3 linked regions of the Oryzias latipes genome follow. The main gene of each other region encodes a partner of the protein of the gene in region 2 in a complex. Links are inferred from orthologs where the notes say so. Each region holds a gene or a part of one and is shown on either strand. Other genes may lie near its edges. The genes, in order: kdr, vegfc and flt4.

What was found.
Region 1: the proteins of vegfc (region 2) and kdr are in contact, whole or in part, in a crystal structure (PDB 2X1W), measured with the Homo sapiens proteins. The link is inferred for Oryzias latipes from reciprocal best matches to the Homo sapiens genes VEGFC and KDR. Residues at the interface, in NP_005420.1 of Homo sapiens: Thr148, Asn149, Phe151, Lys153, Phe186, Ile188, Val190, Pro191, Leu192, Gln194, Pro196; in NP_002244.1 of Homo sapiens: Val135, Tyr137, Ile215, Val216, Val217, Val218, Asn253, Val254, Gly255, Ile256, Asp257, Phe258, Asn274, Arg275, Asp276, Phe288, Leu289, Ser310, Ser311, Gly312.
Region 3: the proteins of vegfc (region 2) and flt4 are in contact, whole or in part, in a crystal structure (PDB 4BSK), measured with the Homo sapiens proteins. The link is inferred for Oryzias latipes from reciprocal best matches to the Homo sapiens genes VEGFC and FLT4. Residues at the interface, in NP_005420.1 of Homo sapiens: Leu119, Asp123, Trp126, Gln130, Asn167, Arg210; in NP_891555.2 of Homo sapiens: Gln172, His199, Asp200, Ala201, Leu202, Tyr203.

Annotation. Positions count from the first base shown.
Region 1 is NC_019862.2:257,805-265,967, reverse strand, and holds part of kdr (vascular endothelial growth factor receptor 2), read right to left. Parts: 5' UTR 8,093-8,163; coding exon 8,029-8,092; intron 7,242-8,028; coding exon 7,148-7,241; intron 7,074-7,147; coding exon 6,877-7,073; intron 6,791-6,876; coding exon 6,669-6,790; intron 5,644-6,668; coding exon 5,475-5,643; intron 5,310-5,474; coding exon 5,170-5,309; intron 3,451-5,169; coding exon 3,279-3,450; intron 2,016-3,278; coding exon 1,901-2,015; intron 1,789-1,900; coding exon 1,619-1,788; intron 1,541-1,618; coding exon 1,390-1,540; intron 254-1,389; coding exon 136-253; intron 14-135; coding exon 1-13. UniProt on the Homo sapiens protein: Tyrosine-protein kinase that acts as a cell-surface receptor for VEGFA, VEGFC and VEGFD. Plays an essential role in the regulation of angiogenesis, vascular development, vascular permeability, and embryonic hematopoiesis.
Region 2 is NC_019859.2:6,642,119-6,650,817, forward strand, and holds the start of vegfc (vascular endothelial growth factor C precursor), read right to left. Parts: upstream 4,417-8,699; coding exon 4,315-4,416; intron 1-4,314. UniProt on the Homo sapiens protein: Growth factor active in angiogenesis, and endothelial cell growth, stimulating their proliferation and migration and also has effects on the permeability of blood vessels.
Region 3 is NC_019868.2:19,016,071-19,024,233, forward strand, and holds part of flt4 (vascular endothelial growth factor receptor 3), read right to left. Parts: coding exon 8,025-8,163; intron 7,542-8,024; coding exon 7,395-7,541; intron 5,475-7,394; coding exon 5,343-5,474; intron 4,840-5,342; coding exon 4,733-4,839; intron 3,814-4,732; coding exon 3,678-3,813; intron 3,296-3,677; coding exon 3,191-3,295; intron 1,029-3,190; coding exon 915-1,028; intron 534-914; coding exon 445-533; intron 246-444; coding exon 86-245; intron 1-85. UniProt on the Homo sapiens protein: Tyrosine-protein kinase that acts as a cell-surface receptor for VEGFC and VEGFD, and plays an essential role in adult lymphangiogenesis and in the development of the vascular network and the cardiovascular system during embryonic development.

The sequences.
Region 1 (8,163 bases), on a different chromosome or scaffold from region 2:
TGCTTACAATTTTCTAAAAAGTGAATCAAATGTATTTGTTAACATTCTTTAAAAGATAAAAATGCCCAACACACACCTAAAATGATGATTGGTAGAGAAGTGATTGTAACCTGCGGTTATCAGTCAGTGGTTTACCTTTGCGTGAGGATCGATGTCAGTTGTAGTCCTCTCTATATGGTTGTACCCACTGCTGTTGCTGATATCTCTCCAGTTTTTGCACTTATCCACCACCTCAGGCTTTATCACTCCGGGCCTGATGCAATAAAAACGGACACGGAAAACCAAGCTGGAATACCATTTTCATGATTCATTCCAAAAAACTGGGCTAGCCTCAGCTTAGTTCATTAACCAACTCTTAATCTTGCCACTTATTTTTTCGTAACTGCTATAAAAATAAACTTAGTAAATTTAATATAACACCTGGTAACTACAAAAACAACCCCTCTAGAAGTAAGTAATATAATCTTAAAATATGAAAAAAAAATTATTTGAATAAGCATTAAAAAAAATCTGCCAGTTAAGTGGGGTAAGAAAAATGATCTTACCAAGAATTGTAATTAAAAAAAAAAAAGGTCTAGTCAATAAAATTATTTTGCTATTGAAAAACACTCGTGATGAGATTATTTTTACGCAAGACAGAAAAGAAGACATTAGAACAATGGTCTTTTTAATTTATTACAATTCAGTTTTTGCAGTGTGCAAACATTTTATTGGGATGTCGTCTTGTTTTTAAATATGATGGGAATTTTTCCCTCATTTTTTTCGATCATTTTTGCCGATAAGAGAAAGTTCACTATATTTAAAGTGTATTTCTTGAAACCAAGTCATTCTATTTCGAAATTGTACACTAGGGCGTTTTATTTTCTTTTTTTTTCATTTTGAAAGAGCTACAGGAACAACAGGAAATGTGGATCAGGACGAAGGAAACTCTGGGATGTGCAGGCAGAAGATAAGGAAGCTGCTGCATGGTCTTCTCTGGTCAAAGTGGCCACTTACGCACGAAAGAACAAACCTCCTCTCTATCAACACCCATTCAACCCTTGCAGGAGTCACTGAGCAGGCAGTTGTGTCACTGCAGAAATGTGCAGGCTGCAGACTTTGGAGCTCCGATCTCAAACAACTGGCCCAGACAGAACAAAGATTTGTGCAAGAAAGTCTGATGTCTTCTAAAATCGAACATTTTGAAGAGACCGAATCACATCCGCTGATCTCCATCAGGGTCAGAGTGCCCCTCATTGTCTTTTTTCTTGTTTTTGTCAACAACCTCTATTGTTTTTGCCAACCTCATGACAATAAATGATGACGAGGCATGTGATCACGGCACAGAAACAAAAAAGGAAGAAATCCAGTGTTTACTGGTTTTCACACACACACACAAAAACGACTTACACAAAGGTTTCCCTGCAGTCTTCCTTAGGCATCCACTGCCACTGAATGCTCTCAGGAATGGGAAATCCACGGGCGGTACATGTCAGATCAGGGCTCCCACCATATGAATACATGTCCACTGGAACTTCTTTCTCAATAATACGAGGAGGCACTGAAGGAAAAAAGAAATCATCACTATGACATTTTCAGAAGCTCAGGAACAAAACAGAAGAGAAGTCATCTTTCATACAATTGACCAGCAGCTGGAAAGAGGATCTCTGCTCCTCTTTTGTGACCTTATTGCTTAGGATCAATGTGTAGTTTCCTTCATCTGCCTCCATGACTCCGCCACGGAAGACCAGAGCGTCGCTCTTCTGTTTGATTCTGTAACTCTCCTTAAGTACTAGGCCATCTTTTAACCTAAACAGAATAATGGTACAAAAATGTGCAATGTGCAGCTTTTTCATGTGTAATAAAAGAACTGTTTATGACACACAACTGATGACAAACTGCCACTGCTACATGAACATACCATTTAAAGCTGGGTTCAGGGTACGCAGAGTACCTGACAGGGTAACTTGCTTGAGCTCCCACCGTTACTTCCCAGACCTTTGGCCAGGGTTCCTTCATTTCAATGAAAGGCTTTTCTGCAGGAAAATAACAACATAATTATTCATATTTATTTGAATTGTTTGAAAATGTTGATCTTATGGAAGTTCATGGAAGGAAAAACTGTGCAAATAAGACTTCAGCAACTGATAAATTCATCCAGCCAAGATGAGATGCTTTGTTATTGACACTAAACTATGTCCAAGCTTTTGTGTGTAGTAAGGAAAACCGTCAGGTGCCCCAGCATGAGCTGTATTATAGACCAGGTCACCCCTGCTCTATGGAAGCATTTCTGTCTCATCATTCAAAATAGAAGTTAATACCTGAATGTTTTTTCATTTGCACAATAAAGCTACGTAATTGACTCAAAAATTAGATGAAAAATAAATCTGCTAAACAGTTTTTTTCTTCTTCTTCACCGCTCAGTCTGTCACTTTATTAAAATGACAAAGAAAATGTTTTTTGACATTTCATTTTCAAAAAGTTCTCTAGTAAATGTGTACCAAAATTCAATTAGAAATACTGTATCTAAGTAGATGATTAAAATGGATTAAAAAAATGCTTTTTCCTTTTCACAATGTAACTGCATCAATTGATTCAAAAGTAAAATAAAAAATCAATCCTCCAAAATGCTTTTCCACTTTAACACCCCCATTCTGTGACATAATTAAAGCATTAATGCAAAGAGGGGATTGCATTTTCATTTTCACATCCACCATGCAAAAACTGTTGCATAAATCCTTTCCAATCAGCTGTTCCATGAGGGAGGCAGGGCAATGATGTCAGTGTTCACTCGGTGTGCTGCTCCAGGGAAGGCTTTGTAGCGCAAACAGGACGGCCGGCCGGCCGGCCGGCTGCTCCAGGCGAGCGAAGTATGACTCTGATCAGTGCAGCCGGACTCATAGCTTCGTGTTTGTGGGCAGGGAAGGGGGTTTTGTTACGGTGTGCACTCCGGGGGAGTGCAATCCCCTCTTTGCATTATCGCTTTAATCACGTCAAAGACTGGGAGCTGTTCAAGTAGAGAAACATTTTGGAGGATTGATTTTTCATTTTATTTTTGAGTCGATTGATCCAGTTACATTGTGAAAAAGAAAAAGCATTTCTGTTAATCCAATTTTAATTATCAACTTAGATATTTCTAGTTGAATTTTGGTACACATTTACTAGAGAACTTTTTGAAAATGAAATGTCAAAACCATTTTCTTGATCATTTCATTTATTTCTGAGTCAATTGATGCAGTTACATTGTGTGAATGGAAAAGCATTTTTGTTAATCCATTTTAATTGTCCAGTGCACCTACCGTAGACTTTGACGTATGCAGAGGCACTTTCATCCATCTGCCCGCTGGATGCCGTGCAGATGAATTCTCCAGAGTGTTCCGTTGTCACGTTCTCCACAATAAGAGTATTGGAAAGCTCCAGAGAGTTCCACAGCTTCTTCTTGTGGGGAATCGTGTGGAGTTTCCCGGAGTTCTGAGTTAGCAGGACACAAGAAATAACTTTGTTTAAATGTGAATTTCTTGAACTAATGTACAGTGTTCCCTCACTATATGTGGTTTACTTTTTGTGGTCTCACTATTTTTGAGATGTTTTTTCAGTGCAACTTTGCATGCTTTGTTTATTTAACAGTGCACTGTGTTCTGCATCCTGTTGACCTTGTCGATCAATCTCCTCCGTGCCATAAGGACAGCTGAAATAGTTCAGCTTTCCGTATTTACATAAATATTCATTGTGATCAGTAATTTGTTTTCATTCTATAAAACTGGACATTTTTTCCATGAAGGTTTGAACATTGAGAATTTAAACAAAAGAGAAAACTGTAAAAGTGTTCATTTCTGTCTAAGAAACATGGATAAAGTATGTAGTGAAGATTTTTACATCCTTAAAACATCTGTAGTTCACCTATCGCTGGTTATTTTTAGAACCTAACCCTGTGATAAACAAGGTAACACTGTATATTTTTTGATGTGGAACATCTCTCCATGTTTGCATTTAAAACATCTCAGCTGCCTCTTGACCTTTGACCATGTTGCGCTGTCTGTGTAGATCAGTGTTTTTCAACCTTTTTTGAGCCACGGCACACTTTAACCTTGACAAAAATCCCGCAGCACACCACGATCCAAAAAAAAAAAAAAAAGCAGGAATTCATGGTCTGTATTGATCGACAGCCGCCCCCCCCCCCCCCCCCCGCAATCTCACGTGGATTTTTGTGATAAATGTGGCAGAAAAAGCAGGAAGTTGTGGCTGTTTTTTTTCTAAGAGATGAAATAAAGGTTAAATTAGAAAAATTTAGAAACTGTTTGTTTGTTTGCTGTGGTTTCAAGACGTTTCACAAGGACAACTCATTGTGCGCTGGGACACTGTCCCTTTAAGCCAATGCATCATGGGAGAAGTAGTGTGAAAACTGCTGAAAAAGGGCAGAAAGACTCACGTCTCTGAGCTTCATTGTTTTGTTCACTTGTTCCACGGTCTAACAACGGACTCTGTGGAAAGCTACACACTACATGAGCTGCATGCGGGGGAAAACAACTTGGAGCTGCAGAGGATGTGAACAGGTAGAGAGGCGGAGGCGGGGCTCAGACTCACTGCTGATGATTCCAGATCCGCAACAGCTGCTTCCTAATAAAAAATAGTTGTCATCCATAAAATTAATATAATTTATTGGGTTTACTGGATTTAAAGAAATAAATAAATAGAATGGAGTCTGCATCAAAGTGAATTTGTTTCCATCATCTCACTCATCTTAACTCTGGGTGTTTGACAGACAGAAAAGTCTATTCAAGATTGTGGAAAATGGACAACAGTTCAAAGAAACATAACGCTCATAAATAATTAAATGAATAATTGAATGAATATCCTGATAGTATTTTAATCAATACAAGCATTGCCAAATGAACTATCACGATATATCGCCGATTTTTTTCTAACACCCCTAGTGTTGCGGCTCCCTGTGCCTTCATTTCTGTGGGAAACTGATGGAAGTGGCTCTTTGAGAGGTTCAGGTTGGACCCTTGACCTAGAGGCACACAATAAACTGACAGATGCTTGGAAGCAAAATGTCACAAATATTTTAAAAAAGACAAGGAAGTGAGAACCCGGAGTTCTGGTATGAACGTCACTGAAGCGTTTTCACCAAAAATGTGTCTGGTGTGGGGGGTGGAGGATTAGGGGAGGGTGAGGCGTGAGACTCACCAGGGCCCCTCCCGAGTGGGTCCAGTTGAATTCAATGCCTACGTTGAGCTCGGTGTTGGCAGTGCAGATGAGCTCCAGCTGCTCCCCTACAGCCAGCCTCTGCTGCACAGGGGTCAGGGTGAGGTCATGAATCTTGTATCCTGCGGAAAAGGGAGGGAAGGCAGTCGGCAGACAGCCTATTGTTCTCCTGAGACTTCAGATGCAATCCACTTTTACACACAGCACTTTCAGAAAAAAAACATTTTTCTGGGTTTGTTCACTCAATAGAAAATTCAGCTCAGCTCTGATTTAAGATTTAGTCTCACCCACGACAGCCACAATGTACAGAGGAGACTTGAAAGTCTCATTTCCAATCCGGGTCTGGCAGGACACCACACCAGCATAGCTGATAAGATGAGTGGGCACAATGAAGCCCATCTTGGCATCCCACACCAAGTCTTTGCCATCAGGATGAAGCTCTTTGGTCGGATACTTCTGACAGATACAGGAATATATAGGTTTTGACAAAAAAGAAAAGAAAAGGAAAATATGATCAGGCATGTATGGGTTTTTACAGAGTAAAGTAGCGTGACAGACCTCTTGTTGTCCTGTAAATGTTAACAAAAAGCTGCTAACAGCAGCTATTACTGCCCCAATGTCTGTTAGACACTATGTACAGTATGTAAGCAAGCAGAAGGCCTCCTGAACAAACACTGGGACATTGTTGGAAAAAGACAAAAATAAAAATTCTAATTAATTCCTGAACTTAAGGAATCACTAGAGGAATTTGGACTTTTAAGACCCGGTCCATTGAAAATCAGGTTTTTGGTGTTTTTCACATGTTCTTGTAGCTTTTTTCTGATGAGGGATGACATATATAAAGAAAATTAAACTTAAAATTACATTTCTAATATTTAAATTTTGAATCAGATGCAGACCAAAATTTGTCATTTAAAAATGCCTGTAGCAGTGATGTACAGTAGGTGCTACAGCTGGCAGGCCACAAGCTCGCTGCTCTGCTCCATTCTGATGCATCCATTTGCAGACAAACGGATCCACGAACGTCTGTTTTCCTCATCTGAGCTGGAATCGGACTCCAAATTGTATGGCTGGATAGCTTCAATATTGTTTGACATTTTTGTTGTCCTACAAAATGACAAAGGTTTTCTGATTATGACTAAAAACGGCAAAATCCTAAATTCAGGCCAAGGGAGCACTTTGAAAATAGATGAAAAGATGATCAGAGTTTAATTTTAATTGAAAATTTCTCTGATAAAACTTTGACTTTCTTACAAAATGTTTCACTGGTTAAATTTCAGAACTAGTTGTCATGGCTTTACACAGACCCTCTAGTAAGTGTTTTATAAGGCTGAATCTCTCCTCTGTGTCTGTGGACACAACAAAACCTTCATGAATTGGAACATTCTAGGTTGTTCTGCAGCCTAGGATCCACAGAAATGTCTCTATCCTAGTGAACAATGTAATTTCACAATGAGAAAAGACAAATAGCTTTTCCTTACAATGTTTAGAGTAACATTAAGGTTTTCTAGTGAGCCTCTGCATGGTATGACTACCCGCTCCCCTTCACGGATGAATACCACCTCGTATTCCTTCTCAGATGGAACAAACGGCACCCTGTGATCTGAAATAAAACCCAAGCGTCAGACATTTACGTTCACTGAGGGAGTGGGAGTGCCGTCATGGTGAAGGCAACTATAGGAGTTTTACCGTGGACAAAGACGTAAACTGCTTTCTTGCCATCTTCAGCCTTCAGGTCTGGGTACGAGCAGTGGTACTCTCCTGTTTCATTGACAGTTGCATTGGTAATGGTCAGCGCTGAGCAGAAAAATCCTGACCCGCTGCAGTCCCTGATGGAGAAGTGAGTGCTTGTTGGGGGGGTCAACCACCTCACATACTGCCGACCTCTGCAAAGAAAGTTCGGAGTTGGATGTTCTGGAGGCTGAAGAAAAGAACGGCAGCGGGATGTATCCACTCATACCTGCAAATCAGTTCCAGGTTGTCTGATTTGTTCATCCGATGTGTGCCATTTATGTTAAGAGTTGGTGGATCAGACATGAACCGCAGGTCGATGGCTGCAAGAACAAGTCACAGTCAGCAGGGATGGGAGTATCCCACATAACCATGCTTCATGACGCTTAGAAAATCCTTTCCAAATGATCTTGGGATTAAATATGTTTTGAAAGAGAAACAGATTTCAAAAGGAAAACATCTCAAAATGAGATTGTTTTGGAACTGGATTTGGATAGGGTCACTTTTCCATTCCTGCAAAAAATGGCAAAGTTGTGTCAAAACAGGAAATGGGGGGAGATGGGTTGGGTCAGGCTCAATAGTTCAGCACAGTGTGGCCTAGGTGGAGTTCCTGTTTCTGAGGATACAGGCTGCCCGCCACCTCCTCCCTGTGAGGCCTTAAAACATGCATTGTATGGAGAAAAAAAAGACCTGGGTGAAATTACCAATGAGGCCAGGGACTGTTTGTCTAAAATGACCCCAAACATCACAATTTCAAACTCTGTGCTTGCTCTATTCATGAATAATGATACAACCAATAGGCCAAACTGTTATTTTTGTTCAAATCTGAGTTACTTGAAATGAATTGAATTAAAATAACTAACATGTCAAACATTTCACAATAAAAAAAACAAAAAGCAAGAGAAGAAATCAACTAAAAAAGACAGAAATAGCTACAAATGCAGTAAATAAATAAACAAGGAAGGAGTTGTGCACCTTTTCTTTCAAAAGTTACAAAAGCTGGATGCAGATGAACAAAACCACTACATGAAAATGAGAGAAAATCTACAACAAAACATAATCTGGTCTTTCAAAAGAAAACAATCATTCGTTTTCTTATTTTTTTCTTACCTGCAATATAAATGATGTCCAGCGTTATTATAAGTGAGTAAACTGAAACTGCCCGCGCCATCATCGGACAAGAGGCGACACCAAAGTCCTCATCAAAAGTTCAGAAAATGATCCACAGAGAGTTAAGGGATGATA
Region 2 (8,699 bases):
AAAATGTCCAGATGGAATCCCTAAGAGGAACCTTCTACATGGTGACATTCAATTTTCTTCAAACCAATTACAGATGCAATTTACATTCACATAAAACATCTGATTATTACCTTTTTCTTAAAATACAAGATAATTCAATATTTCTTTCAGTCATCTGATTTTATCTCTGCTTGTATATTCATTTATTTGATTTATTTTGCTTTTTAACATCTCAATATGTACAAAAAGAATAAACAATCACAGGAAATTGTTCTCTGAAGTTGAACAAAAAGACCAAGGTCGGATGTCCGAATAAGCTGACCATTGTTTTGTTTTTTTATGGAGTATGACTGAGAGAAAGAAGCACATAACCAAAGCTGCACATTTTGTTAGGAGACTTCTTAAAGCAGATGCATGGCTAATCGCAACAATACGACTTCAGATGTTAAAGGAGATAATGCAGATATCCTACTTCTCTTCATGCACACAAACTTTAAAAGAAATCTGATAATGAACTTTTGTATGAATGACTTGGATATTTTTTTCCAAGGTGGAAAAGTGTAAATGTGTCACATCTGATCGTTCCAGTTATTAGATTTCTGTGGTTGTGCAAACATGCTCTTTGACTCAAATGTACATCAAAATGATGTCTATGTCTAGTGGTTTGCGATAGAGTGGCTTAAAAAGATATGGATATCTCCTCATTCAGCAATAAATATAGACTGAAGATGAATCTTATAGTAGCGGAGTTTAAAGAAAAAGCCTCTAATTGTATTTTACGGAGCCCCTTGAAGAAAAAAAACAAACTATTGAAGTAAAAAAAAAATAATAATAACTGGTGCTCACCAGTTACTAGCTATTAATACAAATACCGAATGGCTTCAGTTTGTCGTAAGAATCCAAATGCCAAATATAATTTGGACACTTTGCAAAATAACTGCGATGATGCAGACATCTGGCTCTCCAGAGTTCAACACTCTGTGGGTCATGTTCTTGATCCTTGCATGCAGCCCATTTTGAACGCACTTGGCATGCATCCACCAATATCTATGGAGTTTACCGGATGATCTTACATTTTCCTGAATAAAACCTGATTTTAACTGCTCTAACCCCAGCGCTGAAAGAAACCACATGACTTTAAAACTCATTTAAGATGACTTTCAGAGATGATATAATTGTGACGGGGAGGAAGCAAAGCTGCAATCTCTTTGTAGACAAGTCCGAAAGCAAAGTGACACTCAAATGAGCTCAATCAGCTCAACTTGGGAAAATCCCTCAGTGTGCAAAAGGCCACAAATGACCAGATACTAACTGGGATCTTGTGCGCACCTGTTACTTACTGGCACCGGTTAGTTTTTTTTACTTCAATTGTTTGTTTTCTTCAATGACCCTTTAGGGGTTCCGTAGTATTTCTGGTTCCTTGGAGGAAAATATTTAAAAGAGAAGTGGCAGTCCAATACATTTACGCAGTATGAGCTTCCACTTCTAACTTTAAAACGAAAAAAAGCTTTAAACCATTAGAGAACCTCTTTTTGAAAAATTAGGCTCACTGACTTTTCTTTTGGTCTGTGAGTTAGTCCACATGCATGCCCAGCAGCATTATCTCAAATCTGCTGCTATAAAAATCTGTTTAGTGCACGAGATGCTTAATCCCCAGACACCTGATGTTACGTGAGGTTTAACAGCAGAGATGAGCCGCTGAGGTTTTCCAGTAAAACTTTGAAGAGTGTTAGGAGAGAAACCGGTCAACCCAATTAATACTCTTCTGTGATCAAATGCCTCTGTTTAGCGCTCATCTGCCCCCCTCCCTCACCCTGCCTCTGTGGAAGGCTCTCACACACACACTTGACCCCTGTGACACCTGTCTCTATTCGCTCTTTTCTCTAGCTAATTTGAAAATACCCCTTCTTAATCCCGAACCCCCCGAAGGCCCACCCAAAACTCGCAACCAAGTAACGTTCCCCCTTTTATCCCTGTCTTTGTCGATCCAGTCTCTTCACCAACCTTTGTGAAAGGCTTGTTTAGTGGCGCAGACGTCCAGCGTTTGTTAAAACAGACAAGCAGCAGCTCCTAAAGGTTTTGAAGGACTTGAGTGTGTGCAGACTCTGAAGATGATCCCTCACAAGAACAGCACATATTCTGGAAAACTCAATCTTCTCCTTCATCTTCTCCTGAGACTCTTCCTGGCACCGGTTTAGATTTTACTCATCCAAAACACAAAAAAGAAATAAAACCTGTGTGTGAGTAAGAGGTCAGTAAAAAATGCAGCAGAGGAACCAGTTTTGTTTTTAAATGGTAAAAATGCTTAAGTGTTTCCTGATTCGTTAGTAGTTTTTTTGCCTGGTTTGTAACATCACTTGACGCCAAAGGCCAAACTCCAGCTTATCAAAAGCAGTTTTATGACCCTCTGTTAAAAAAAACTTGATGAAAATATGAACTGAAATATATCAAATACCTCAATATCTGATTTCATTTTACTCTTTTTAGACAACTTTTTAGAAACGTAACATTACTTTCATCTCAACAATACAATACATTCTGTGTCAAATAAATGAGGGGTTAAGTGTTTGTTACCAAATTTAAACCTAACTACTTTATAGTACACAATATCTGTATTTATGGCAAAAAATACCTTTAGCACTCAAAACAATGATTTTTTTTATTAAATATGGTCATTTTCCCGAGCTGGAAGTTCACACACTTATGGACATTTTTATATTTGCACATTCCACATTTTGCATATTTGCACACTTCCGTTGTACACTTTGTAGCTATTGTACATATTGATTTTTTTTTATTATACTTTGTTAGATTTTGTTTTTGCACTGTAATGGTGATTTAATTGTCCAAGTGGACAGTGACAATAAAGGCATATCTATCTATATCTATCTAAGACGCCTCAATCTCTGATTCCCCGGTTTTCGCTCTGTGTGGTTGCCGTTCATTTACAGTAATGACGTCAACCTGGAGCGTGTTTGGGTCTCACCCACAAAAAACAAAAACATCCAAACTTTTGTACAGACGGATGTGCACATTGTGCATGTAAAAGGATAGCGCTTTTCCCAAACACAGCTAGCTCCATGGAGAAAGTGGGTGTTCGCGTTAGCCTGGGGGCGGTGCTGGCAGTGCAGACTCTTCCTGAAAGGGGCTAGTTTTTACTTTTATATGTATGAATGTGAGAACCCGCTCGTTTTCATGGATTGGGAGGGGCTGGTGCTCAGAGAGGCAGGTTTTAAGAGAAATGCTCAGAGATGCGTGAATGGATCAAAATACCGCTTTGGGGTTTCTTTCTGTGAGGAATGAACATTATAATACACTTAAAAGCTCAAAATTTTGATTTAGCATGATATTGGCCCATTTATGTAAATCTTAAGTCGAAGTTAAATATTTAGTAAAGAATAAATGCCAATTAGATCATTATCTGTATAATATTTGTGAGGAAAAAGTGACAACTTGTAGTGCATGGCATGATTAGAATAGAAGAACTTTGGAATCTAAAGACAGAAGACAGTCTGCAGGGAGAAAAAGAAGACGAGAACAAAGTGGAGGTCTGCGTAGACGTGTCTTGACAATAACTTTTAGATGTTAAGTAAGACTAAATAAAATATATTTCTTTTTTGTTTAAACCAAATTTGTGATGTTTTTATAAAACATTTTAAGTGTTCTGTCACAACAAAAGCAGGTCAACTTAAGCACTTTCTAGAGTCTCATCTCATCCGTTACACAAATGTTGCCACATTGACTTGTTCTCCACAAAATGACCCTGCCTTTATCTCACATGTACGGTATTGTCCTCTAAACCTCATAATGCCAGAAAGCTTTATTCAATGATTTGTCTTCATTTTTGCCATAAAACAAACCGTGCTATAAAAGCACAAGACTTTCATTAGGAACTTGTTGCAATATTGCACTGACTGATCTCCTTGAACTCATTTTTGGAACCATTATGAATTACAACAAAGTAGCCCAGTCACACACTGGCTGTTTCTGTTTGGGAGTCCTTTGATTTAAGGAAAATGTCAAAGAGAATATGACAGATCAACACAGCGCATTACAAAAGAAAATCCAAATCTATGCATCAAACTTGATCAAACTTGTGAACAATGAAGGTCAAATGATCATTAACTGATCCTGCAGATCAGTGAGTGAGGAGAATTATTTTACCATGTGTAGTTTGAAAAAAAAAAAGTAATGATAACACAAATCTCCTTACCCCTCAGAACTTAACATGTAATAGTTCTGCCTCACATCTTCAAGGGGTGCGTCTGTCTGTTTCATGAGAACAAGCAGCTGCAGCTGCGGGCTGCAAAGAAGCCGAGCGCACCGCGGACTCACCGGCTCGTCCATCTGCTCCTGCTCGTAGTCTTCATAATAGTCGCTGGCGAGGTTGGAATAAAGCAGATATGCCAGTAAAAGAGATATTCCCAGTAGGTGCATGTTTATATGAAGTCCGGGAGTGTTTATGATCCGACAACCATAAAGACGGGGGATTTTAAAAAACCCTCCACGGTGCCTGAGCCGTCCTGCCTCCCCTCTCTCTCTCTCTCTAGCTCTCTTCTTTGTCTCTCTATCAGGGTGCAAGACTCCAGCCTGCAGCGCGCGCACCGACCCTGGTGTGGATGGACGCAGCGGAGACTGCGGGCGTTCATGAAGAGCGCACGATTCCAGGAAAACCGCCCGCATGCGCCTTCACAATAAAAGCCTCAGAGCACCCGCATGTGTGAAGAGGGGAGGCTGGGAGGAATGTTGGAGGCAGCCAGAGGATAGTTTCCTGGTGACCTCACCATAAATGCTGCGCAACACCCCAGTTTTGACATTTTTCTTTAATTCAACATCACAATTCAAGGCCGGATATAGGCATGGCCAAAAAAAACAACAGCAACATAAAAAGAACAAAAAAGATATAAAACTTTCTATATATGTGATTGATTGATTGGTTGGTGATAGTTTTATATATATATATTTATATTAATGGGCTGATGCTTTGTAATAAATTGTGAAAATTAATTCATTCACCTTCTTGCGTTTTGTCCCTTTTGGGGTCACGGGGCTGCCGGAGCCTATCCCAGCCACTTGTGGGTGAAGGCAGGGGACACCCTGGACAGGTCGCCAGTCTGTCACAGGGTCACGTATCACACACCCAGTCACTTTCACACTCACACCTATGGACAACCCCAGAGAGAACCCACACATGCACGGGGAGAACATGCAAACTTCACACAGAAAGGTCCCCTGTTGATGTTCTGCTTCAAGTCCCCCAGCCAGGACTTGAACCGGGGGCCTTCTTGCTGTGAGGCAAGAACGCCAACCACTGTTCCACCGTGCAGATGATTGATTGACAATAATAAATACAATAAAAAAATTGTATTTATTTGATCAAAATAATGATTGATATTAGGATGGTTTAAGAATAAAGTGGTGTGTCTTACTAGCATTGCTGATTTTTTCCAGTCCTAAAAGTAATTTGCTGATTTCAAATGGACTTTTGGAAACAGTTTTCTGGTGCCTTCTTATTTTCTTTATGTGGGCCAAATCATTCCTTCAATTGGGATAGATTTCAGTGGAGCCCAAAGACATGGAAGCTGGTGTTGACAATGAGAGATATCATATTCAGTAATCCAAATTGAATTATCTGTAAAGTTGGCCACAGCCATGTGCCATCTTGGAGCTGTATGAAGGCATTTAAGGGATGCCAAGCTGGCCCAAATTTGACAGTGAAGGTCTCATAACAGATTCATTTCAGGGATCTTTGGCCAAAGTGTTGATGGCTGACTTTGCTCATCATGTGTCCTGAAACATAAGCTGAATCTGGTGGAAATGTTAAATGTGATGTTTATCAGAGAGTGACTGAAAAGGTTGCAATGTTGCCTTGAATTGGTTTTGTTTGACAGAGTTTGAGCTGTATGCAAAACCTAGGCAAGCACATGTTTGCAGGTTTCATGGAGCCTCTGACGTCTGCAGACAAAGACTCTCCAGTTAGTAAAGAATACCACAAAACTCTTCTTTAAATTAAAACCACAACCAACAAACACAAAATATCTATTACTACGAATACGGCCAACTATGAACTTAAAATTAGATTGAGATCATCTTCTATTTCAACCGGCAAAAAAATGAGACTGACATTTCTCATTGCTTGTCATTTTTTTGAATGTGAAGATACAGGAATCTTAAACAAGTGCACATGCATTCATGTGATGCTCGTGAGAAATATTTTGGTAAGAAACGTTGTCTTTATTAACCATCTTGAAACAATATACCATTACTGGCTTGAATGTCCTTTGCTGATGAATGTTTACTGACGTCTTTCCAGATCAAGCACCTTCATAATCTATGTATGTAAAGATAATAACTGCTTGATTCCTCACAAGTGTTTTTTTACACACTCAGAGTACAGAGGAGGTGCAATAAGAAAACCAAGACAAACATTAAACGGGTGTCTCAAAGGAGGACAGGTTTGGGGCATCCAAACATTTAGTGAGAGCTTGTTTAAATCAATGGAATAGGAACCAGTAAAGAGGATTTTAAACTTTCACATTCAAGATTTTCCAAATTTCACCTTCCTTCTGCAGACTTTTCGCTCGAAAGACTTTTTATTAGACGTGTTCACTTGAAAGTGTGTTGCCGAGGGCGATGTGAATGCAGCTTTATGGGTTGTTGTATTTTTGTCGTCTTTTCATGGCATCTTTTCTTATTAAATCTTGGACTTCCCTGGATCTGACATCTTAGGTTCTTCTATTATCAGACACAGTTGTGTTTTTTCACATACCTTACATGTTTCGTGTCCAGAGTTCCCTGGATCTGTTTGAGTCCTTCCTGCTCCTGGGTTTCACTGCCGGCCACCCGTAACAGCAATGTCATTGCAGGAGTTCAACATGTGGACTTTCCCAACAATAGCTTCACAAGGGGCTTCCTAAAGGTGTTTGATGAAAGCATCTGCTCAGCCTCAACAAATGAAAGCCCACTCATAAAGCCAGTTTTGAATCATCACAGACCTATGGGATACAATTACATTTCAAATTCCAAAGGCCACTAGTTGTGCTTTCATGACAAAGGTCCAACTCAGAGAAGAACTCTTGGTTTACATTCTTACTCATTCCACTCAACAGGGTGAGCAGGCTCAGCTGGAGTGACTTGACATGTTGAAAAAAAAAAATCATCAGTTGTTGAACAGACCTCAAGATAAAGTAAAGTTCTGACTCATGCACACGGCAATGAAATGGAAATCTTTAACCACGCAGGGGTCTGAAAGCCTCTTTGAGTTTAGAGAAAACGGATGTGTGGGCTCGAAAGAAGAGAAAAAGGATGCTTTGCAGACATTTGCGGTATGTGAAATCCATCAGTGCGGTCAACTTTCCAAGGACTTACATGATCCAAACACGAATCCACATTTCTAAGAGGAATAAAAGCAGATGTTTACAAATATTTAAAAGGAACTTTTCATTTGTTTTCTCAATCATTCTTTGTATTTTATGTTTTTCTAAAATGGGTTTAATCAGACTGAAAGTAGTTTGATGTTCTATGTGTTTTTCTGCAGTTTGCCTCATTAGAATCAAAGAGATCTCTATCTCACTTTGAAGTTTTGGAATGGCCTTCAGAGGTCAAGGTGTCCAAGTTACCGGTGTTTAGATATTACTTGTCACCATGACAATAGCCGTAGATTTGAAGACATGAATGAAATTGCGAAAAGGGAGATATTAACTAAACATGGACTCATTTCAAGGTTTTGAACTGCAACAGCTCTGTAATAATATTCACTCATTCTGTTTTTCAGCCATGATCTAGATCAGGTTGAATGCAGGTCCTGTGTTTTCTTTTTTCACGTATAATCTTTATTTTCTGGGCTATTGCCTACCCTTTTTGTAGATCTTTTTTTGAACTTTCCATAGCCTGCTTAAGTGCATCAACTGCTTTGGTAGAATAATGTTTATGTGTCACATAATAGATAATGGCCAACGAAGTATGCATTATTAGAAATAAACACACGATGTGGAAGCCTGAATGGTTATGTCACAATAACAGACTGGTTCCAAGTGCAGCAGGTTTATTAGCTCAGCTGAAAGTCCACAAATCTAAATCAGGGTCAGGCAGGAAGGTGTCAATAACGGGCATGAAAGCATCAGAGAAGAGACAGGTTAGTCAGGATCCGAGCGAGAGTCGGGGCAGGCGGTAGGTAAACTGAGTCAGAAACAGAAAATTAGATCCACATACAACACTCTGTAATGAAGGCAGAACCACACAAATACTTCTCACTGAGTGGGGCTCAGTGCAGTGGTTACGTATGCTAAGAGTGATCGAGTCAATGGGAGTCAGGAGTGTGGCATCCAGGAAGTGCACGCTGGGGTTGCTGGGAGATGAAGTGCATTCAGTATTCTGGAGATGGTTCCCGCTTTTTCGGTTTGGATTGCATTTTTCATAAAAAGCAGACTATTGGATAAATGGTGTGGTGCGGTTGACACAGCAACATAACGCGCTGCTGAGCCAGCTGAGCCCGCACTGACCTCGACTGTGGCAGCTAAAGAAAGCAAAATATATATTGATCGTAACAATCAGTTAGAAAAGCATCAGTTCAGAGAGAAAGTTTACCTCTTATTGCTTGTTTTTGTCCAGATAATGAAGCAGAAGTTTGTTTTAAAGAAGCCAGCACAGTGATAAAGAATATGTAAGCTGTGTGACCGGAAATTTAAATTTACATGTTTTTAGGTGAGCAATATTTCTGT
Region 3 (8,163 bases), on a different chromosome or scaffold from region 2:
GAGTATAGCCATTAAAAAAATTTAAAAAACCACAGCAGGACTATGAATGAAAATGATTCCCACTCCTGATGTAACCATGACTCACTTTTCTCAACCGCACAGTTCTGATCAGGAGCCTTAGATGATGCGCTCTGAGGACTGCCGGGTGGGGAGGAGGGCACAGGAAGCGGCTGACGAGCTCTTTGGTCCGTTTGCCCCGCTTCGATCAGCCGCCTCACCTGGCTCTGGGTTTTGGGAGACCGGTCCTAAATAAGAAACAGTCTTGATGCATCATCTCCGAGATCGATAGCAAACCAGCTACTCCTTGTTTCAGGGCTATTTATGGGCTCAGAATTATGTAAATACATAAAAAAAATGTTATGCAAGAACACAAATGAGAAAAATTGACTTTTTTGCTGTTAAATACATAACAGCAAAGTCTCAGTGTCAGCTGCGTTTGGTTACCCTGTAAGGAAGGAAGAACTCTCGCTTTGCTCGCAGGAAGTTGGACAGATTCCCGTACTTGCAGTATTCCACTATCACCATGAGCGGACCTGGTGATGCACATGTTTCCAATGTTATTTCATCTGACTGTTTTTCTATAGTTTTCATGTTTCAGACATTCAGAGCATTTCTGCCCTGCTCTCTGCTGAGAAAGCCTAAGTGCAGCATTTTTAAGATACGTTTTAAGAAAATCCTATTGACACATTGTCGAAGACGTTGTTTCAGACAATTGACATGTTTCTAAAATTACAGAAAAGCTTTCATCATCTCTCAATTCAAAACAAACTTGTTGAAATTAAGATTTTCTGGACCAAAATCCTGCTTGTTGGTTAAGTCCATCAGTTTGGAAATGGGATTTTATCAAAAACAAAAGGACATAAATGTGTGTAATCGAAGACAAAGCTGGAGGTGTTTTAAGTCAGTGGACTCACCGTTTGGTTTGGTGCAGGCTCCTAACAGGTTAACCACATTAAGATGGTTCCCAATGTGAATCAGAATCTTTAGCTCTGACATTAAGGCTTTGTGTTCACTGGCTGTGGCTCCATCTGTACAAGAAAAAAAAATACACAAAGAAAAACATCACACACCGCTAGAAAAAAAAAAAGGTAAGCAACCTCTTAATGTTTATCATAATTTGATCACACAATCATACAAATTCACTCAGAACAAAACATAGATCAGAGATGAACGGCTGTGCCATGTGTGACGGATATCTTATGAGTCGGACGATAATTATACAAAGTTAACACACAAAAATACACTGCAGACCAGTATGTACTTCTGGTAGGTTTTACACCATTAAAAAATAAAATAAAAACAAGTCTATCCAAACTATGATCCTGCCTCTACCGTGCTCAACAGAAAGAAACTCATATTTATTTTATTTTTTCTCTTGATATGTTTGTGCAGTTTTAAGAACATGTTTAAATTAAGCATAATAAAAGATGGACATATTTTTTATGCTTCAAAATAAAAAAAGTCAGAGAAAGTGCATTTCTTGCAGTTATAATAGACAAAATGTTATAAAGAAAAGTTCACATTAACTGCTTTAAAAGGAAGATCAGTCAAAGAATTGGAATTTTATACAGAAAAAAGGATTTGTTCAACTGTAACTCTTTTGCTCTTGTTTTCTTCTTCCTTATTCTATTTCCTGGAGAAAAGCTTGTTCCACCCACACAAAGCCATTTTTTTTCAATTACAAAAAAGGGCGGTTAGAATTATCACTAAAACAACATTTTTTCATGTGTATATAACTCGGAGATGGATGCACATTTCAGTTCATGGTATTAGGATGTGGAATTTACTGAATATGACATTCAGACAAGGCACAAACACAATTAAATAATAAAAATGTTTACGGTCAAAAGACTGATGGGAAGCAGTTAGGTTAGCTCAAAGTGTAAATTAGTGACTTGGATATGTTTTTGGAAAGAATTACAGTTTATTTGTTGTTGTTGCTCCTTGTAGAAGGAGCAGACTTAATAAGAAAACTTTTCTTCTGTCTGACTTTAACTGTTCATAGCTTGTTTTATTTTGAAATATCTTGTACGCATAGTTAAGTTGCCATAAACAATAACTGTCTGAATCCTTATTTGTAAATGGATGCCTTCAGAATCATTAAAGTACGGTGGCCCTGAAGTGCAAATCTTATCAACAAATCACTCAACACAAAAACATATTAAAGATCACAATGACGATTAAAAAAGAAAAGCAAATAAAAGAAAAAAATATTACATTTTAAAAATCAAAAGTAAATGAAACCAAAATGTAAAAAAAAACTTCTCAGAAGATGAAAGTCAATTTCAGATGTTAAAAAAATGAAATAAAATAAGTAACTGGAAAAGATAGATACTTTGGGACATTGGTGATTGGATGATGATGTTTGAGTTTTGAAGAAGAGGGAAAGACTGAGGATGTTTTTGCTGAACTGTGGTAAAGAGTTGATTGAGCAGAGGCTGAAGCAATGAGCCTAAAGAAATCTGACAGAAGACGTTACAATTCCAAACAATTTCCAGTTGAAAGGGGGAACAAGCGTCATCCAATCAGTCATGTCCCTTTTCCAGTTTCTTATTTTATTTCATTTTTTTCAACATTTCATTTGGATTTCTGGAAATGTGTTTTTTTCGAAACATTCCCATTTATTTTGTGTCATTTTATGTAGAATTTTGTTTTGATTTTTCTAAATGTTAAGTTGTTTTTTTATTATTATTAATGGTTTTGCCTTTTTAATTGTCAGGATCATTGATATATTGTTGATGTGATTTGCACTTCAGGGCTACCTGTTGTATTTACACATTGACTTATCACAAAGTCATCAGTCCTTGACTCATTTTGATAGGTTTGTTATCATTTATACATGGACATATTATTACTAAAATGAGAAAAACCTGCATAATTCATGTAGAATGATCATTTGGCATTTTTGTGGCATTATCAACTCAACTCCGTACTGATATGAAGAAAAAATCTTTGCCTGATCAGATTTACATAAATCTTTATTTTTCAGATGTTTTCAAACAAAACGTGTGAACATAAACTGCTCTAGAATAACTTAGTTTGTGCTTCATTTCTTCATGCTCACAGTAAATAAAAACTTGCCTCTCAGAAGAAACATTTAGATGGAATTAGTGTTGAGGCGCATTTGTTTCTTTTAAGGTATTTTTCCTATAAAACATGCAGACGGTGTAGATTTGAAGGTAAATCTCACCTTTGAGCATCTTCACTGCGACTGTATCCAGACTGCTGCTCTTGCTGATACCACAGAACGAGGCTTCAATGACCTTTCCGAAGGCGCCGTGACCTAAAACCTTTCCTGCATTGAGAGGAAAGGAGAGCTTTTCACATTTAGGATTGAGATTAGAGACCTTTCACACTCAAGTGGGACAGGGAAAGAAGGAGGATCAAGAATGACACCATTTTCTAAAACGTTTCAGCTGTGAAACAGATGCTCCTCCTCAGAGCATTCTGAAAATGCTTCTCTGGAAATGAGCTCATCTTTAACATAACCACCCTACTTGACAGCACTTGGCACTGCAGGCTGTAGGATCCAGACTCATACCATTAAAAAAAAAACAGAAATATGATTGAATTTCATCTGTTTATTTACCCTAATCTGTTCCTCCTCTCCCTCACACCTCCCTTTAACACCCATCCCTTCATTCCTACTTCCATGCAAGTTTTCCCCCATTGCTCACCCAGCCGGAGTCTGTCTCTGGAGATCTCCCACTGTGACGAGTCATAGGGCAGGTATTCACACTGTTCGTCCAGCGGCACCTCCCCTGGGTCCATTATAATAGACAGATAGCCTGTCTTTATGTCCGCTGGGTTAACCTGCCGTTACAGGATGCAGAGTCAATATGAGTTCAGGATGAGTTGAAGGATGGTGGGTATTACACAGGAGGTGCATGAGCTCACATAAGCACAGGTCAGTGGATAAAAGAGCACTTATCAATTTCTAAAGAGCAGCCCAATCTTCTGACAGATAGCTTCATTTTCAATCCAGGAAATGGGTCGAAAAGGCCTGATCTTCCTTCACATTTTACAAATTCTCACCATTTTTGCTAAATGTATTGCAGCCTGGAAATCCTGATTAATACACCATGATGAAGGTTTACATAAAGATTTTAACTTAAACCAAAATCTGAACCATGAAGTTTCCAGCCCAAGAGATTTAAAGCTGTTTTCTTTTATTGGAAATTAATTTTAAAGGAAAGTTGATGTTCACAAATATTACATTGATTGTTTTCAAAAAGTAGTTGTTTTTATTGATAATACAATAAAATATCTTTGATGTAAAAAATAATTTTTGACGAATAAAATGAAAAATGGCTGGAGTGCAGACAGCAGAAGTGGCTGAGCAAACTTTTGGCGACTCAAGGACTGACATGATATTAAACATTTTGTTTCCATAGAGGAAAACAGAGATAGAAAAAGTGGCTTTGCTGCTCTGCAACATCGGCTCAAACAAACCCAGTTTTTAAGTCTCAATGGAGTATACAGCAAAAGCTGAAGGTTTCCGTTTGCATTGAACATTTTAGTCCAACTGTCATTGTTTATTTTTTATATTTTTGCTGGATAATTAAACGGGGATAATAAATTTAAAAAAAGAAAGTTGTGTGATTTACATTCAGGTGTAACGTCCCCCTGTCTGTCTTTTTTTATTTTTTACACAGTCATGATTTACTTATGTACAATTTCAAATAGGTGATGGTACTCCAGCCTCAGAGACACAAACAGAAAGCTCTCTGACCCGTTTGACATTGCAGAAGATGAGGATGAGCAGAAGCCAGAAGAATACAGCGATGACTCCGGTCCCGATGAGAATCACGATCTCCACGTTGGCCCTGTCGTTTGATCCTCAACGCACAAAAAGGATAAGACAGGGAGACAGCCACGAGCATTAAAACACATAAAAGATAGTTACATGTTGACTCTGAAGCCAATTTTTTGTGATTTGTAAAAATGATGTTATTAGAATTTGTGCTTTAAAGGGAAAACTTTTATGACATAAAGGAGACATTCTTACAATAAAAAGCAACAAAAGAGCAATTTTGAATCCTTTTGACAAAATTGACAGATTAAAGATGTTTTGCAGATTAAAAATTAAACTGGTTTTTGCTATGAAACAATCTTGAAAGAATGAGTCCTCACGGATATGCTTTAGTATATTCTAAATTGTATTTTCCTAGTGATTAATTTTAAAAATAAATTTTATTGATTTCAATTTTAAAATGTTGCTTTAATTACAACAAGTAATAATCTTCTCTTTGACGTTGAAATCTCGTTCAAGGTCAACTCTTATTTTATCCCTGAGGGCCTTTGACTTTCCTTCGATGACTGCATGTGTGAACCTGTCTCACCGATGACCCTGACGGCGGCTGAGGAGTGGACACAGCCTCGCTGGTTGCAGGCGGTGCAGGTGTAGAGACCGGCGTCCTCCTCCCTCACTCGCTGGATGCTCAGCGTGCGGTTGGAATTCTGCAGCTGGATCCCTGTGGGAGAAGCACGAGATGCTGATGGATAAGGCTGAGTTTCAAAGAAACCTCCATCCGCTTTCATGCCATAAAAGTCAGTGGTATTTCCAATGGAATTCTGAGGGTTTTGTGGCACAGCATCCCACTTTCATACCAAGGAGCCCTGCAAATCAAATATGTGGTGAATCCTAATTTATATACTTTCCACTCTTTTGGGGCTGCTGGAGCCTATCCCATCTACTATTAGACAAGGCCGGGTGCACCCTGGACGGTTCTCAAGTCCATCGCAGAGACACGTAACCAGACACCCTCATGTTCACACACTGAAGGGCAGTTTAAAAACCTATGAAGAATGTCTTGGACTGTGGGAGGAAGTTGAAGAAAATCCACACATGCGTGAGGACAACATGCAAACTCCACATCACTCTTCCACTTTTGGCTTCTCCCATCAGGGGTCGCCACAGCGAACAAGTCGCATGGTAAATTTGGCAATGTTTTACGCCGGATGCCCTTCCTGACGCAACCTTCTCTAACCGGGCTTGGAACCGGCAGAGGTAGAGAAGGGAACAGGGAGCAGCCTGGAGTCGAACCCGGGTTTCACGGACGGAAGGCGCCGCAAACCAGCACGAGCTAAACTGGTTTTTGGTATGCAAACTCCACATAATAATAATAATAATAATGGATTGGATTTATCTGCGCTTTTCAAGACACCCAAAGCGCTTACATTATGTCCATTATTCATTCACTCCTCATTCATACTTGGTGATGGTAAGCTACAGTTGTAGCCACAGCTGCCCTGGGGCAGACTGACAGAGGCGTGGCTGCCATTTTGCGCCTACGGCCCCTCTGACCATCACCGGGATCATTCATGCGCATTCACACACCAGTGGAGCCACACTGGAGGCAAGGAGGGTGAAGTGTCTTGCCCAAGGACACAACGACATTTTGGCTGGTGGGAGCGGGGATCGAACCGCCAACCCTTCGATCATTGGACGACCTGCTCAACCACCTGAGCCACTGTCGCCCCACATGGAAAGGAACCAGCCAGGACTTGATCCAGAGTCATGAGGGAAGAGTGCTAACCACTACACCACTGTTCTCCTAACATTTAAAGAATAGAAAAACTGAGTGGTGATGAGTAGAAGATGTTGGACAGCAGTTTTATGTTGGTTTCAGTTCTTTCACAGCTGTTTTTTATTTATTCTTTTTGCATAAATACACTGAAAAGTCAAGTTGGTCTTGAACAGCTATCATAATATACTTTACTATGTAAAGACTCACTCCAATGAAAATGTATTTTTGGTGTTTTTACAAATTCTTGAGGGATTTCTTTATGATGGAGAACAGAGAAGAACAGAATTAAGCTTAAAAATGCATTTCTGAGTATTTCTTTTTTCAAATTGGAGTAAACCAAGAGCAGACAGGTGTGACGTAGAAGCTACTACAGCAAGCCACAAGCTCAGTGTTCCAATCCACTTGCAGATAAATAGATCCATATACGTCTTTATTTTCTTCATCTAAGCTGGCAACTGGCTCTAAACTAAACAGCTGAATGGCTCTGACATTGCTCACCGTTTTTGTTGCAACAGTAGTGTTGGGTGGTTTGAGTTGGTGGTTTGAGGGGCTGTAAGCTAGCGAGAAAGACTGTAAACAAAGGCATGATGGGAAATGGGGGTGGGTTTGCGCGTTAAAGTAATCAATAAGTAAAGATTACCACAAAATGATCTTTTTTTCATGATTGTATGAGCAGATACACTGGGTTGTGTGACGTCAGCCATTGGTTTGCATTGGACTGATGTTTCCTCTTCATGAAACCTAAAGTTCCTCTGAGCCCTAGTTATTTTTGTCTTCAGAAAAGTTTCAAACAGGAAGTAGAAGTGTTGATGCTGTCTAATGAATCTCTCCTGGTTGTTGTGAATGTGTGGTAAACTTGAGTACCTGACATTTGGTGGAGAGGCTGATTATCTTTGAACCAGGACAGCCATGGCAGAGGTCTGCCCTCCACGTCGCACTCCATTCTCAGGGACTCGGTCACGTTCACCGTCTGGTTGGTGAGGCTGCGTTTGTAGCGCGGCGCCTCCAGGGCTGCAGGCGGAGAACACACAGGAGAAAATCTGTGGTGTGTTGTGCCGACGTGGATGTGTGTGACATTTACCAAACCCTCTCTCAATGTTGAGGTGGGGGTGGGGTTATAAAAACATTGAAAAATCCCATTAAAATCTATGTCTGTCCTCCAGGCAGTGATGCAGAGTTACCACGCAACTTGACTTAAGTGTTTGCTTGGAGCGTATCAGCTGTTTTCTGTCACCTCTCATTTATTTGCAGATGCCTTAGACTGACTTCACACGAATGGATGTGGGCACGGAGCTGCGTGGGCATCTCTTTGTGTGTGTGTTTGTGCTGTAATCCTCCTGCATCTCAGTTCCAGCTCCTCTGCTCTGACCCATGTGTAATTCTGCTGCAGAGGACAGAGCTTTCCTCTATAATTAACTATGGCTGGAGTGACTATATATGTGGGATGTTGTGTGTATCTCTGTCAGGGGCTTTCATCCCCTTGTTTTTCCTCACCTCTGACAAAGATGTATCTGAACAGACAATGTTTCTCCCCGCTGCGTCTGCTCCGAGCCCTGCAGACGTAATGCCCCTTATCTTGCAGCTGTGCGGATTCGATGGAAAAATTCAACGCCCAGCTGTTGGTTTGCTCCTG